Caenorhabditis elegans: one gene and its partner. The protein of the gene in region 1 interacts with the protein of each later gene in a biochemical or structural test. Each region holds a gene or a part of one and is shown on either strand. Other genes may lie near its edges.

What was found.
Region 2: the proteins of ctdh-1 (region 1) and dhrr-1 interact in a test that uses a peptide from one of them, tested with the Caenorhabditis elegans proteins (one large-scale study listed by BioGRID).

The regions. Positions count from the first base shown.
Region 1 is NC_003283.11:9,675,253-9,681,352, reverse strand, and holds ctdh-1 (CalciTonin/Diuretic Hormone 31), read right to left. Parts: upstream 3,077-6,100; 5' UTR 3,067-3,076; coding exon 2,897-3,066; intron 2,491-2,896; coding exon 2,352-2,490; 3' UTR 2,051-2,351; downstream 1-2,050. Other genes in the region: ZK287.4 (BPTI/Kunitz inhibitor domain-containing protein), read left to right, coding at 1-255, 302-538, 695-978; ZK287.9 (Activin_recp domain-containing protein), read right to left, coding at 1,211-1,349, 1,403-1,512, 1,829-1,933.
Region 2 is NC_003281.10:8,941,091-8,947,675, forward strand, and holds the start of dhrr-1 (G_PROTEIN_RECEP_F2_4 domain-containing protein), read left to right. Parts: upstream 1-3,566; 5' UTR 3,567-3,724; coding exon 3,725-3,885; intron 3,886-4,708; coding exon 4,709-4,834; intron 4,835-6,585.

The DNA.
Region 1 (6,100 bases):
GTAATATGAATAATTTTTTGACTCGAAATGATTGTATGAAGACTTGCCAATCTCCAATGCCACCACCATCATCACAATGTTCACAACCAGCAGCTAGTGGTCAAGGAGATCAATATCTTTCCCGGTATTTCTTCTCTCCGGAATATCGACAATGCCTTCATTTTATATATTCTGGAGAAGGTGGAAATCAGAACAATTTTGATTCACTTACTGATTGTCTGGAAACATGTGTGGCAAATGGAATTAAATTTAGTTGTGAGTTCATTCAAATGAGAATATTTAACTAGTTTTCAATTCATAGCTCTGGCCAACAGTCCAATGTCGGCTGTTCCTCCTCCACCACCAACTCTGATGCCATCACCACCGGTAACTTCTTCTCCATTCACATTCGTGCCGAGGAACATGTGTCCACAAGGAGATCCATTGATTACTGTTGATGGCACGCCTATTCAATGTGATCCGTCGAAAGCAGCAAAGTGTCCCGGTGATCATGTGTGTACTCCGAGAGGAAACGAAGCATATTGTTGTCCATCACCAAGTAGGTTGAACTGTTTGTGTAGTTAAAAACACAGAATTGTATCACAAAAACAACTATCTTTGTGCATAAAAAAATCACTTACGCCTACCACCAAAAAATACTGTTTCGCACATCAAAGTGTGCAATAACACATACACATATTTTCATTAATTTCAGTGAACTTCTGCCTACAATCCCGTCCACCAATCTCAGTTTGCTCTGGTCCAGACTTCGAACCTGTCCGTGAAATTCGTTTTACTTACGATCCATTGGCAGATCGATGTGTTCGATTTAGCTTCCAAAATTGTCGTGGAGCTGCTTTCTCACCCACTGGAAGTCTGAACAACTTTGTGAGCAATTCTCAATGCAATCGACTTTGCTGTAATCAAGGATACAATCTTGTTTACAAAAGGCGTCTTCTGATGGCAATGAATGATGATCCAATTGTAGAAGATGATTGACTAATTGACAAATAAGTTCAAAACCTCAAATAAACGGGAAAGACACAATGTGTTCGGTCAAGTATGCGAAATTCGCAACTATCATTTTTTGCTCATTCTCATCCCCATGTATGTAAATTTTGACATTCAATGCATTGTTTATTTTTTTTTATAACCTCATAGTTGTTCAGTTTATTTATTTATGTTGAAAGAATTCAAAATTAAAAAAAAAACTAAAATTGAAAATAAAGCTTCAAAAGTATACCCACAACGAAACAACTATAAAGAAAACTGAAAAAAGTGCCATGGGAGAATTTACTGAATTGCACATGTCTTTTTGGCAGCAACACCATTTTTGTGTGACGCCATTTTCCTCGCGTGTCGGGTAGCATCTACAAAAGGCAACTACTGCTAAAACAATGTTTTAAGAAAACAAAAAGAATACCCTTCATCCTCATCATAACAGTAGTCGTTCACATTTGCACATCCACGAGTTATTGTAGAACCATTTATAAACTTGATACACCATAATTGAATAGGTTCACAATTTGCCGTCTGAAGTTACGTTTATTTTAAGTATTTCAATTGAATCAAAAAGCATTTTTAGCACAGGGTTTAAAAAATAACGAGGTCATAAACTTCTATAAATGTCAGACACTATCAATGATTTATTTTAAATTATTTTTTAAATTTTAATTAATTACATAATTTGATACTGCAAATGTCAGAATTGTTCTCGAAGTACTGTACAAACATATTTGAAATCCACAAAACAAATTATTTGACGGTACCAAGTATTCAAAAACTTTCGAAAACTAAAGATTCAAACAGAAAATATATTTTAAAAGAGCTAATTTACGATAAATCTTACCTGCATTTCTGAATCATAGCATTTTAAAGCAAAAGCATCATCAAAAAGACATAAAACCAGTAAAAAAACCAGTAAACCCATAAACTTTTGGAGCCGCAGCGTCATTTTGAAATGACAGTAGTGATAACATGGCAGCCTTCCCAAAATTTTGATTAGTGACACGGTTTTACAACCACCCGCCTAGCGTCACTTACTTTAGTTTCAGGACATTAATTGACAGTTAACAGTTGTAATCATTCATTTCAAAGAGAGTGAGTGCATTGATGGGCAAAAAACAGTTGACGGAGAGAGTGAGAGAGAGAGAAAAGGAAATGGAGAATATGGATAAAGAGATCGAGAGAATTGTTTTGTTTCAAATTATTATTATTTTTGATTGAATGTAAATTATTATTCTTATTGTTGATTATTTCAGTTTTTATATACAATTGAAAATTGTAAAAATTGTGCACTATTTGATTGCTTTGGAAGAATATTTTGTAAATTTTTCGTCGCTTTTGAGGTGAGGTGTCCTTCTCGATTCTCTTCACTTTCCTGGTCCGGCAAAGCTCATGAACTTGCGAGCTTGAGTCTGAGCATGAAGGAGATCAGAAAAATCGCATCCTTGAGAGAGACCAGCGTTGAGAAGGCATTGACGGTTGCGCTTCATTGTGTTTCGAATTACTCTGAAACTTTGCCTTACAAAATGGAAACATATTTTTTAAAGATTTTTTATGAAAACACTAAAAATTTGAATTAATTGAAACAAAATTTGGTGACTACCCTGAATACCCTAAATGTGGGGAAACTCATGATATAATAGGGCAAACTTTAATTAAATGTTTAGAAAAAAGGGGAAAAATACTCCGATGGATATTTTTATAAGGTAACTGAAAGTTAAATTTGGTAACATAAGATATTCAGGGACTTTTCAAAGTTTTCAATATTTTTCAAATTTTCAGATGTTTTACACATAAAAAATTTAAATTTATCTGAGTTTTTCCAATTCAACCTTTTTAGATTTCGATGCCGATTTCAATTATATTCTTCCGTTGTCTCTATGTCAAAGCTCTCAAAATTGTAATAACTCACTGGTTGGCGTCATAGTCGTACGAGGCTTCAGCACCATCCCTTTTCTGCTCCATGAAACGATCTGAGGAGAGCCCGCCGTCGAATCGGTTATAGAATACACGAGACTCGGCGATGAGCACAGTGGTCGCGATGAGCACCAAGAAGAGCATCGATGACGAGGAGCAGCTCATTTTGTTTTACCTTTAATTGTAACTAGAATTAGCGCAAGATTCAAAATAAGAGCAGTAAGAAAAACGACATGTTGGGAATTAGTTAAAGAACAAGAATCACTTGAAAATAAATATGGGCAATTGAGAAAAGATAGAAAAGAAGCATAAAAGTCAATCAAATCTAGTAGTTTGGTGTTAATGTGTCGATAATACTCGATGTCAATAAAAATGGAAAATGAAAAATTGTTGACTGTTATTCGGCAATTTATTGAGAACCGTTATAACTATAGACATACAATTTTTGTAGTGTATAGGTAATACTTTTAGAGTGATATTATATATACCTCTATCAATAACACATGACGCAAATAATTTTAAAGGGATTCTGGAAAATGAGGTAAGATGTGGTCGACGGTGCGTAAATTTGAGATATCGGAAATCTTTGTTACCAAAAATTTTTAAAATCTTAAAAAGAGGCGAGACGCGGGTAGCAAGTGCATTAAAATATTTTTTGTTGTACACCGTACCGTTCTACCTCTGCTAGTTTTCCACCCATCAGTTCAACTTTGACAATTTGCATAACTGTTCAAAGCAAAGTAGTGGGATGTAATATCGTGAAAAGAAAGAAAAATCGTGTTTTCGTATTTTGTTAATTTGTGAAAAAGTGAAAATATATATTTTTACAAAAGTGGACTCAAATTTATAACTCTAGTGTTCATAAGAAGTGTTACGTTGCCATTAATTGAAAAATTATAAACATCAAGTTTACTTTCATAATTAGGGTACGCAAGAATTCATCCTACCGTGTTTGGTGAAATCACCACAAGTAACTCAACTTTTTTGGAATCGGAGTACCTCACTTAGCAAAATCCGCTCAAAGCTGATTTGTTTAATTTTTAATTTATTCTCACTGTCAGACGTAAGATTGACAAAAATGATCCTTTAGTAATGTTTCACAGTTTGCAATAACAAAGTTTTGATCGAGCAGTATAAACGAAAGTATACAATAGTCCAGTTATCGAATTCCAAAAATAAAACAACTCCGAACATCATCTGAGAAATGAAAAGCTTTTAGGGAGATATTAAAATCAAAAAAGTTCTGTTTTGATAAGATAAGCTACTTTATAAAAAAAACTTACCTTTGTAACAACACAAATCTATCTGTCTAGCACAGAATGATCTCTAAACCTCACTTAACTCTTCATCCATTACACTGCAAATATCGTCGCGAACACACATTCCAAATTCCTAACCCAATTCCTCATTTTGTTAGATTTCACCCCCTAACAATCGTTCACACAAAACACTGCGGTAAAAATGAGAGGAGACGGATTTTAAGAGCACCGAGGAAAAAAGGCAGAGACCAGGAATGGGATTGCTTTGCATATGGGTCTGGTGGCTCCGCCCTTCTTTTCCTTAAAATCACATTGCTCATTGCCAACGTGCTCTTTCGTTTGGGAAAAATGAGTAAAACGAGAGGAGACGTCATAAAATATAATGGGCCAGTACCAACATAGGTCTTTATTATTTAGTATACCAATTATAACATAAAAACTATTTTTGAAATTGAAGTATTACAAGAAAGGTTATTGTAGTTACTGTAGACACCATATGCTTGTACTTGTATACCGAAGCTAAACACCAAATATTATTTTATGAAATTGTCACGAGGTTGTAAATTTTTAAAAAGAGATTTCCATCTCACCTCAAACAATTAGGCAACGATTCAAATGATTATCACGTATCACTTTAGTTTTAAAGTCGATGTCTTTTTTCAATATTTAAATTGCAACAAACGTTATTAATAACTCATTACAGTAGGTCCACGAGGTATAATTCATAATCATTTAATTCCAGCCGACCGGAAGTGTGTGGTGTTGTGAAATGGTCACAGGAAGTAAATTTGAGTGACATTTAATTTTCAGCAAGGCAATAGTGACACGACTGAAACTGTGTCTATGTCACGTGTAAAAAATAGGAAGAAATCGGGTGGGAGCAAGATAGATGATGATGGGCCCATTAGTGTAATGCGACTGTCGTGTATTATTCACCAAGACTTCATGTTCTTTGGATGGTTGTAAGAGTGTATGTGTAAATGTTTAAATGAAATGATGACTCAAAAGAGCAAGATGATGCACAAATTATGATGATTATGATGATAACTTATGAATAAAGTGGATACTAATGAAAAAATGTGGCAAAAGTTTATGATCACACATTAAAGGTGGAGTACTTCCAGAGGACTATTCAAGAACATTCTAAATTTTTAAATTTGCACTCAAAAAGTGGTGATTACCCAGTTTTTGCCACACTTCATCTTGGAAACCGACCAAAATAAAGTTTTCGCTATGGATTTTATATTTTAATTGTCTTTAAAGTATTTGTAATTGATTATAATAAAGTCAAATTTCTCTAAATTGTTAACCCCCACTAACGCTGCTCCAGTTTGAATGGCAACATTAAAAAGGTATTAAAATGCAAACAGCAACAATAAAAGTTAAATTTTTAAAAGTTTCACAAAGTTAAAACTATCAGCAGGCAAATGATTAAATGAGAAATAAAATACGAGGCTCTAAAAAACAACTTATTACAACCCATTGGCTCAGAGAAAATCCAGACAAAAATGAGCTCAAACTTTACAGAAAGTTTCTCTTGTTAGAGTATTTCCCACAAGAAAGCAATAAATATTTCAGAGACAATTTAGCAAAACGAAGAAGTCGTCCACTCGAGTGGATCCTTGAAACACCTGCAACCCACGCCTTCTGAGGAGGCGTTTTGGAAGAAGATGGCTCATTCACAGCTTCTTATATGTTTCGTTTTAAGAAAAGGAGGTGGAGCTAAGAAAACAGTGGAGGTGGTGGGAACGACTGATGAAATGTAGTTGGAGAGGTACGAAACTACATACGTCATTTTAACTGGTATTATTGTGGAAAGAGTGAGAAGTCTAAATAAATTTTAAGCAGAGATCCTTTGGTTAGCAAACAAATAGATGCTTATGAGGTGGGATAATCACGATTTTTAATATTGGATTTTGTGCTTGAAGTATCGGTAAACG
Region 2 (6,585 bases), on another chromosome or scaffold:
GTTGAATTGGTAAATGACAGCAATTATATATTTGATTTTAAAACTTTCAACTTTACTTTTTTGAACGATGAACGGCAACTATTTTATTACATGTTTGAAACTTAAGAAAAATTTCAATAGTAAAATTTATGAATAAATTTGAAACTCAACACCTTTTTTGCAAATAACAACAGAAGCCATAATTTTGAAAACCCACCCTCGGTAATTAGATTGTTGACACTAGTTAGGCTACAGTTTCCATAACTCTTTTCTTCTTTTTCTTGTATGCTCTCATCAATTCTTCCTACTCAAACCAGTCATTCATTTTGTTTCAACCGTTCTTGTGTCACCCGATACTCTGGAAATTTGCCTTCTTTTTGTTTCTATCATTTCAGTTTGCCTTCCTGTCTAACACGTTCGCAACATTATTCTCGATTTTAATATGGGGTTTTGTTAGAACGTAGAGCGATCAAAGATCATAGAAACATAATTTAAGAGATTTTTTAAACCTTAAGTTTTAAAAATAGTTTTCATTTTGCCAATTTTGTCGAATTTTTTGAGCAATAGATGTTTTGATGATGGTATCGTCAGTAGGAAAATTTCGAAAAATTTAGCAATTTTAAATTTTCCACTCTAAACTCAAACCTTAAACTTAATTTCTCAACAACCCCGCCAGACAAAAAAATTAAATATATTTGCCTTACCAGGATATAAGACTGAACTTTACAAGTATCAAAAAATCTTAATTTATTTTCAGTCTTACACGTTCGCATAATAATTATGCAATGAATTAACATGAAACTATTGAATCTTTGGTTATCTGAATGTGTGGGTAGGAACATGCATAGAAAATGAACCAGTTCATAGACTATAATTAACCAACAGAGCATGTGTACCTGCATACGTTGACGAAGATTGAGCCGACAAGGCAATCTCTTTTTTTCTGCTGCGATTTTTGATGATGACATGTCTAGTAAGGGAGAGCTTAAATTTCGTTCTTTTTTAAATTTCATATTTATCTGGTGGATTAGTTGGGAGCAGAAATATCAATGCATTTTTGTGTTGCTACTAAATTTTCTTATTTTTAGTAACTAACTGTAAGATTTTGGAGCCTAAGCTTCCATGTGCTCATTTCGGAAAAATCCTAGTACCAAAAGTAAAATATAGAACTTCTAGAAAATATTTTAACAGAAAAATAATCTTAGCACTTTGGTGTAGTCTTTACATATGGTTGATCAAAAAACGTGGCAACAATTATACGGTATCCATCTCTTTCACCTACTCTATGTGTTTTCCACAAACCCATTTCAAAGGAAAACCTACAATTTATTTCCTAAAAATAACGTTTCACTTATAGTGCCTATTTTCTGAATTATGAATTCTAAGGAATATTTTCAGGTAAAATTTGCACTATGCTAAAAAGGAACATTCAGGAAATATGCAAAATTTGTTATTCCTGATGATCCTTTAAATAATGCATGTTTTTCAAAAATGTTGATAGCATTTATCCGTTCGTCTGTTAAAAGCCCAAAAACCGAGCGAATTTAAATTATTTGAATACCGATATGCCAAAAAACTTGCAATTTTTTTACCTTTTGGAATTTTAATTTTAAACTGCGAAATCGAATCCATTCTTAATTGTTTTTGGAACTCGCAGAAAGCTAAGGAAATTCAACAAAAATATCAAAAATGATCAAAATAAAACGGGGAAATATTTCAAAAGAAAAATACAGCTGTAAGTGTTTTGCTATATTTCACAATTTGCCGATAATAAAATTTTCCGGCAAACGCCAAAGTCGGCAACTCCCTTTGCCGACCGGCATTTGCCGCCTACCCCTGGATTGACTGTTAAACTATAAACTTATAGGTTTTTCATCCATTGCGACATTAAATTTCTCTTCTAACTTTCTCGCATGTGATTTTTCCAATTCCTCATAGCTTTTACAGTCGCCTGACTTGTATTCTCTCATCCATCAATGTTGTGTCTTCTATTCTCCTTTCTTACTGATTTCCAACCACCGTCATGACAACAAATCTCTAATTTTCACAATTTCCTCCGACTATACACATTTGTTATCTATTTTGAGACAATTCCCTTATATAAAAAAGTAGTCACTTAGGGTGGCGGGATGTCTGACGAAAAACATATTGTTTCCCAGTAACGAGTCATTTTACTGCTCGCTTTCCCACTTGGTTCTTGCTCATGAAGATTTTTTTGAATTGGAAAAACATATGAAAATAGATTTCATGTTGATGTTGAATGTCTTCTCACTTTTTGCATCAAATATTTTACTTTTACATATACCGTATTTTTTCTAATAATCTTGCTCCCCTCTAAACCGGTCAAAAGTTAGTTATGCGTGCAAGACTGATAGAGAAAATACGGTATGGAATTTTTACAGTAGGGTTCGTCACAAAAATGTCTCAAATTACCTTTTTTGCAGAACTATTTTCTAAACATTCTCGAACGATTTCATTATCTCATAGATCAATATATAAATTCTCAGATTATGAGTCATGAAATTTTTTACAATAATGAGATTCAATATAGTCGACCCTAACAGATAATTCATGTCAGAACAATGATGTATTATTGAGCAGTAAAAGCACTTTTCAGAATTATAAATCATCAAAAAAGCTTCAGGATGGAATCCTGGAGTTGTACTATTAGGATGGTGTTTTTGAGTTTATTATCACGATAAAGGCTTATGCCTTATTTACTTCAATCGTTTTATAGGACTTAGTGATAATATGAAGGTTGAGGAAAAGAAATAAATAAAAATTCGGTATTTTAGAGTAGAATATTACGCAGTGTCCATTTATTCTGTCGCAGGATTTCGACAAAAAATGTTTTCGTTTTCCAGTAAAATAAACATAAGAATGATTATTCGAAGTTTGCAACTCCTTTTTCGCGTTTTAAATCGGAATTGTCTATTTCGATAGTTACTGTGTATTTTCTACTAGTAATGGCTGCTCTTGGTTGTATTTGTTGTCATGAAAAAATTGTCAACTGAAAAAATAATTTTCAATTCTTTTTCTGTAGTTTTGCAATGAACTGTTTATCGATATCTTCAAAATCAACTAAGTTTGAACCATTCAAAATGGATCAATGGGGTGTAGTACTAATAAAGAACATACGGTATGTTGCAACTGTTGAGGTTAAAATGGGTATTTTTGAGCCATCTTTTCCCTACTTTAAAATGATCTTGCCAGATCCAGTTTAAACATGGTTAACGTATTCTTGGAGGCAATCCATAATTGTCGAAATTGCCAGTTGCTTTTTTGTGAGCCATTTAGTGAACATGAACGTTGCCCAGATGGACTGCAACCCGTTTAGAAATAAAATCATGGCTATGATTCATTTTCATAAAAAGTTCATTTCCTTACAAGCCGCTTAACTATGACACTAGAGACCCCACACAAAGTCATTCCAAAATTGAGAATTCACTTCCTACTCGTATTCTCTGAATTCCTCACATTGAGGCATCACAGTTCACTTTTTTCTCAATTTTCTTTTCTTATTTCTCATTTATTTTTTTTTACTTTTCTTACTTTTTTAGAATTTACTTTCCCACTCCATTAACATTTTTTCAGTAACCTTCGACCATTCCCAAATCCTCATTTTTCTTCTTCATTCTTCAGTCACCTCTCCAACTGCGCCTCCATCACAAACACGACTGCGGACTTGCAAGCTCCGCCCATCTTGCTCGCACTTTTGAAACATTTCGTCTCTCCGCCTCCCACCATGAATCCATCGATATCCACGGCGGGAGCAGTCGTCGACGATTTTCAGATGTCATGCAGATTTTCAAATTTTGGAGATCATGCACCTGAATCATTTGACTCACTTTCCTGTGGAGCATGCTTCTATTTTATTTTTATGCTCGTAGAGCACTATAAAGATAGGTGAGCAGAATGGAGGCGCCTTTTTTTGTTCCTTATTGAAACAAGGACTCTATTATTTATGAAGCTTCACCTCTTTTCTCTATTTCAAATGACAATTAACACTCCGCGGACCTTTTTGTGGTCTCTTATGGTTGAAGCTATTATTAGTTTGAAACTATTATTTGGAAAGTTCCAAAGTTTAATTTTTAAATTAAAAATATTTCATGAGTCATTCAATTATTTTTAAATATGAAATGTTTGTTGTACTAAATCGGGATTTGCTTCTGAAAAATTTACAGTACTCCATTTTAGCAACTTTTAAAATTTTTAATTGATATATACCTTAAAATTGAAAATGTTCAATTTACTAGTTTGTATTGAAAAAATATTTTTAAAAATTTAATCTAAAGTTTTGCAACTTTTTCAAATGTTTGAATTATTTTTCCAAATTTTTCAACAGAAACATTCAAAACCGGACTGTGCGGAAATATTTTTGCAAAAGTAGAAAACTGCAATTTCAATATGATAATCCAACGTTTTTAATCAAGTTTTGATATAGCAAAGTAGTAGACTTGTTCCATCTGAAAATAATATTTATTTTAGTAAAAAAGTTTGCAAAAGACCTCAAATGTTGTATGAAACTGTTTGAAGTCTCTTTGAAAAAAGATAATTACTGGACAAAAATGTAGAGATTTTCTCACTCTCCTCAAAGCCTGTCTGGAAAGCAAAATAGATAGGTAGGCGGGCTTTCCCGCCTGAATAAAAAATGTGCCTGTCTATCACAGATTTAAACTAGTTCTTTTATTATCGCAGATTCTTCATTATATCCAAAAATGTGTTTCAGATACGTTGCAAGTCTTTGTGAAGACACTTTCGGAGTACTAGTATGCCCAGTTGATGTCAGTGACAAAATTTGCAATTGCTATAATCGAGAATATGTCTACAATATTCCGGAGTTCGCACTTAATTCGTAAGTTTTATAACTTAAATAGTTCACCTTGGACATTAATATATTGTTGTTAATATTTGTAACTTTGGAAACTTTAAAAGTTATTCTTGAAATTAATAGAAAGTGTATTTTGCTGTCAAGAAACATCCTTGCGTGCAGGTTTTCTGATGTAGTTTAAAAAAAATGGAAACCCAATTTTTGATCTCTGATACTTTTGATTTGAATAATTTTTGAAACTGTAATATTCATTTAAAAAATTGAATCTAGTCTTATTCATTTCTTTTTCTCTTGCATCCGAATGTCAACGAATTGTCTCAAATTTCAACCGGACGTTGCTCGAAACCTTGTGCTCATTGATCAAAATGTTGAGCAGATTTTGGTCCTAAAAAACGAAAGCAGAACGTATCCATTTCTATGAATGCAAAGAAACATACCAGAAAAAAACGCGTAATACGATTACCTCTTTCTCGCTAGTTTCCATCTATGTTTAGTCTATGAAAAAAAGGACAAAACGAGCACTGAGTGAAATTGTCTCAGCGGCGGCGGTGGCTCTTTCCATCATTTCCACTCCTTTTCCGCAACATTTCGCACAAATTTAAAGGGTCCCCGAATGCTTGAAAGAAATAGTATGTGAGACGAAGAGACGCACAGATTCACTGACCTCTTTTGCTTATTTCTGACCATGCACACGCAATAGGAAGAAAGGTTCAATTGAAACAAGAAAAGTCCTAGTTTCACCAACAAAAAAAGTTTGGAGATTGGTGAGGGACAGGGGATTTTAACGCTTCCAATCGGTTGAAAGCCAAAATATTTTACACTTGCGGAAGTTTGGATATTCTATGGAAATTAGGTGTGAAAATTTAACAAAAACCTTAAATTGGCATTAAAATATATAACTTAAATATTTCATACTACAACAAAAACTGAAGACGGAGCCGCAGAATAACGGAAAGTTCCGTGTAAGAAACGGGTGACTATCGGACAAATCTACCGTAACATATAGTTTTTCGTTACGAGACCCTTGAAAAATTACTAAAATTTCAACTGTTTTTTCAAAACCTTTCCTTGCACAAGTATTCCCTAACAAGAATGGTTTTTTCCAGAGCTCAAAAATTCAACCAAAAAAGTTTTGAAACTAACAAAAAAAGTATATTCTCTCCGGGGGATCTGAAACGTTTTTTTGCCCATCATACTTTTTTCTTTAAGAAAAAACTCCTGGATTGACAGGAGGGTCTTTTTGGAACTCTTGGGAACTCTTGGAACATTGATATGTCAAACATTTTGGAAAATTTGGTGCAGAGTGAATGACGAGCTTTTTTTTTCGTTTTTTAGGCCTCTTTTTTGAACAATTTTTGAAATTTTCCAAAAAGACCGGAAATCTACGGTGACAGGAGGGACTAGGGATGTGTGAGTCAGACGGGAAGTTCAGATGAATAGATTTGGAAAGTTTGAAACTTTTTTTTAGAAATTGTGATATGTATGACCTTTGTGTACTTGAGAACCAAGGAGCGAAATAAAATATGAAGATTTTTTCAACTTCTTTTGGCTGTTTGTGATTCGTGCCGAATGTTATGCAATTTACGCAACAGTAATGTTCTTATTAGTTCAGAAAGTTACATTAGGATAATTCAATTTGTTGGAATTCTAATGGGGAAGGATTACTGTAGTTTGAAGGATTAGCACTACAAGGAAATTTTTCCCTTTTGTGACTTCAAATAGTAAACTGCAAAATTTTAAGTGGCAAAGTTTCATTCTCAACCCCTAAAATTTTT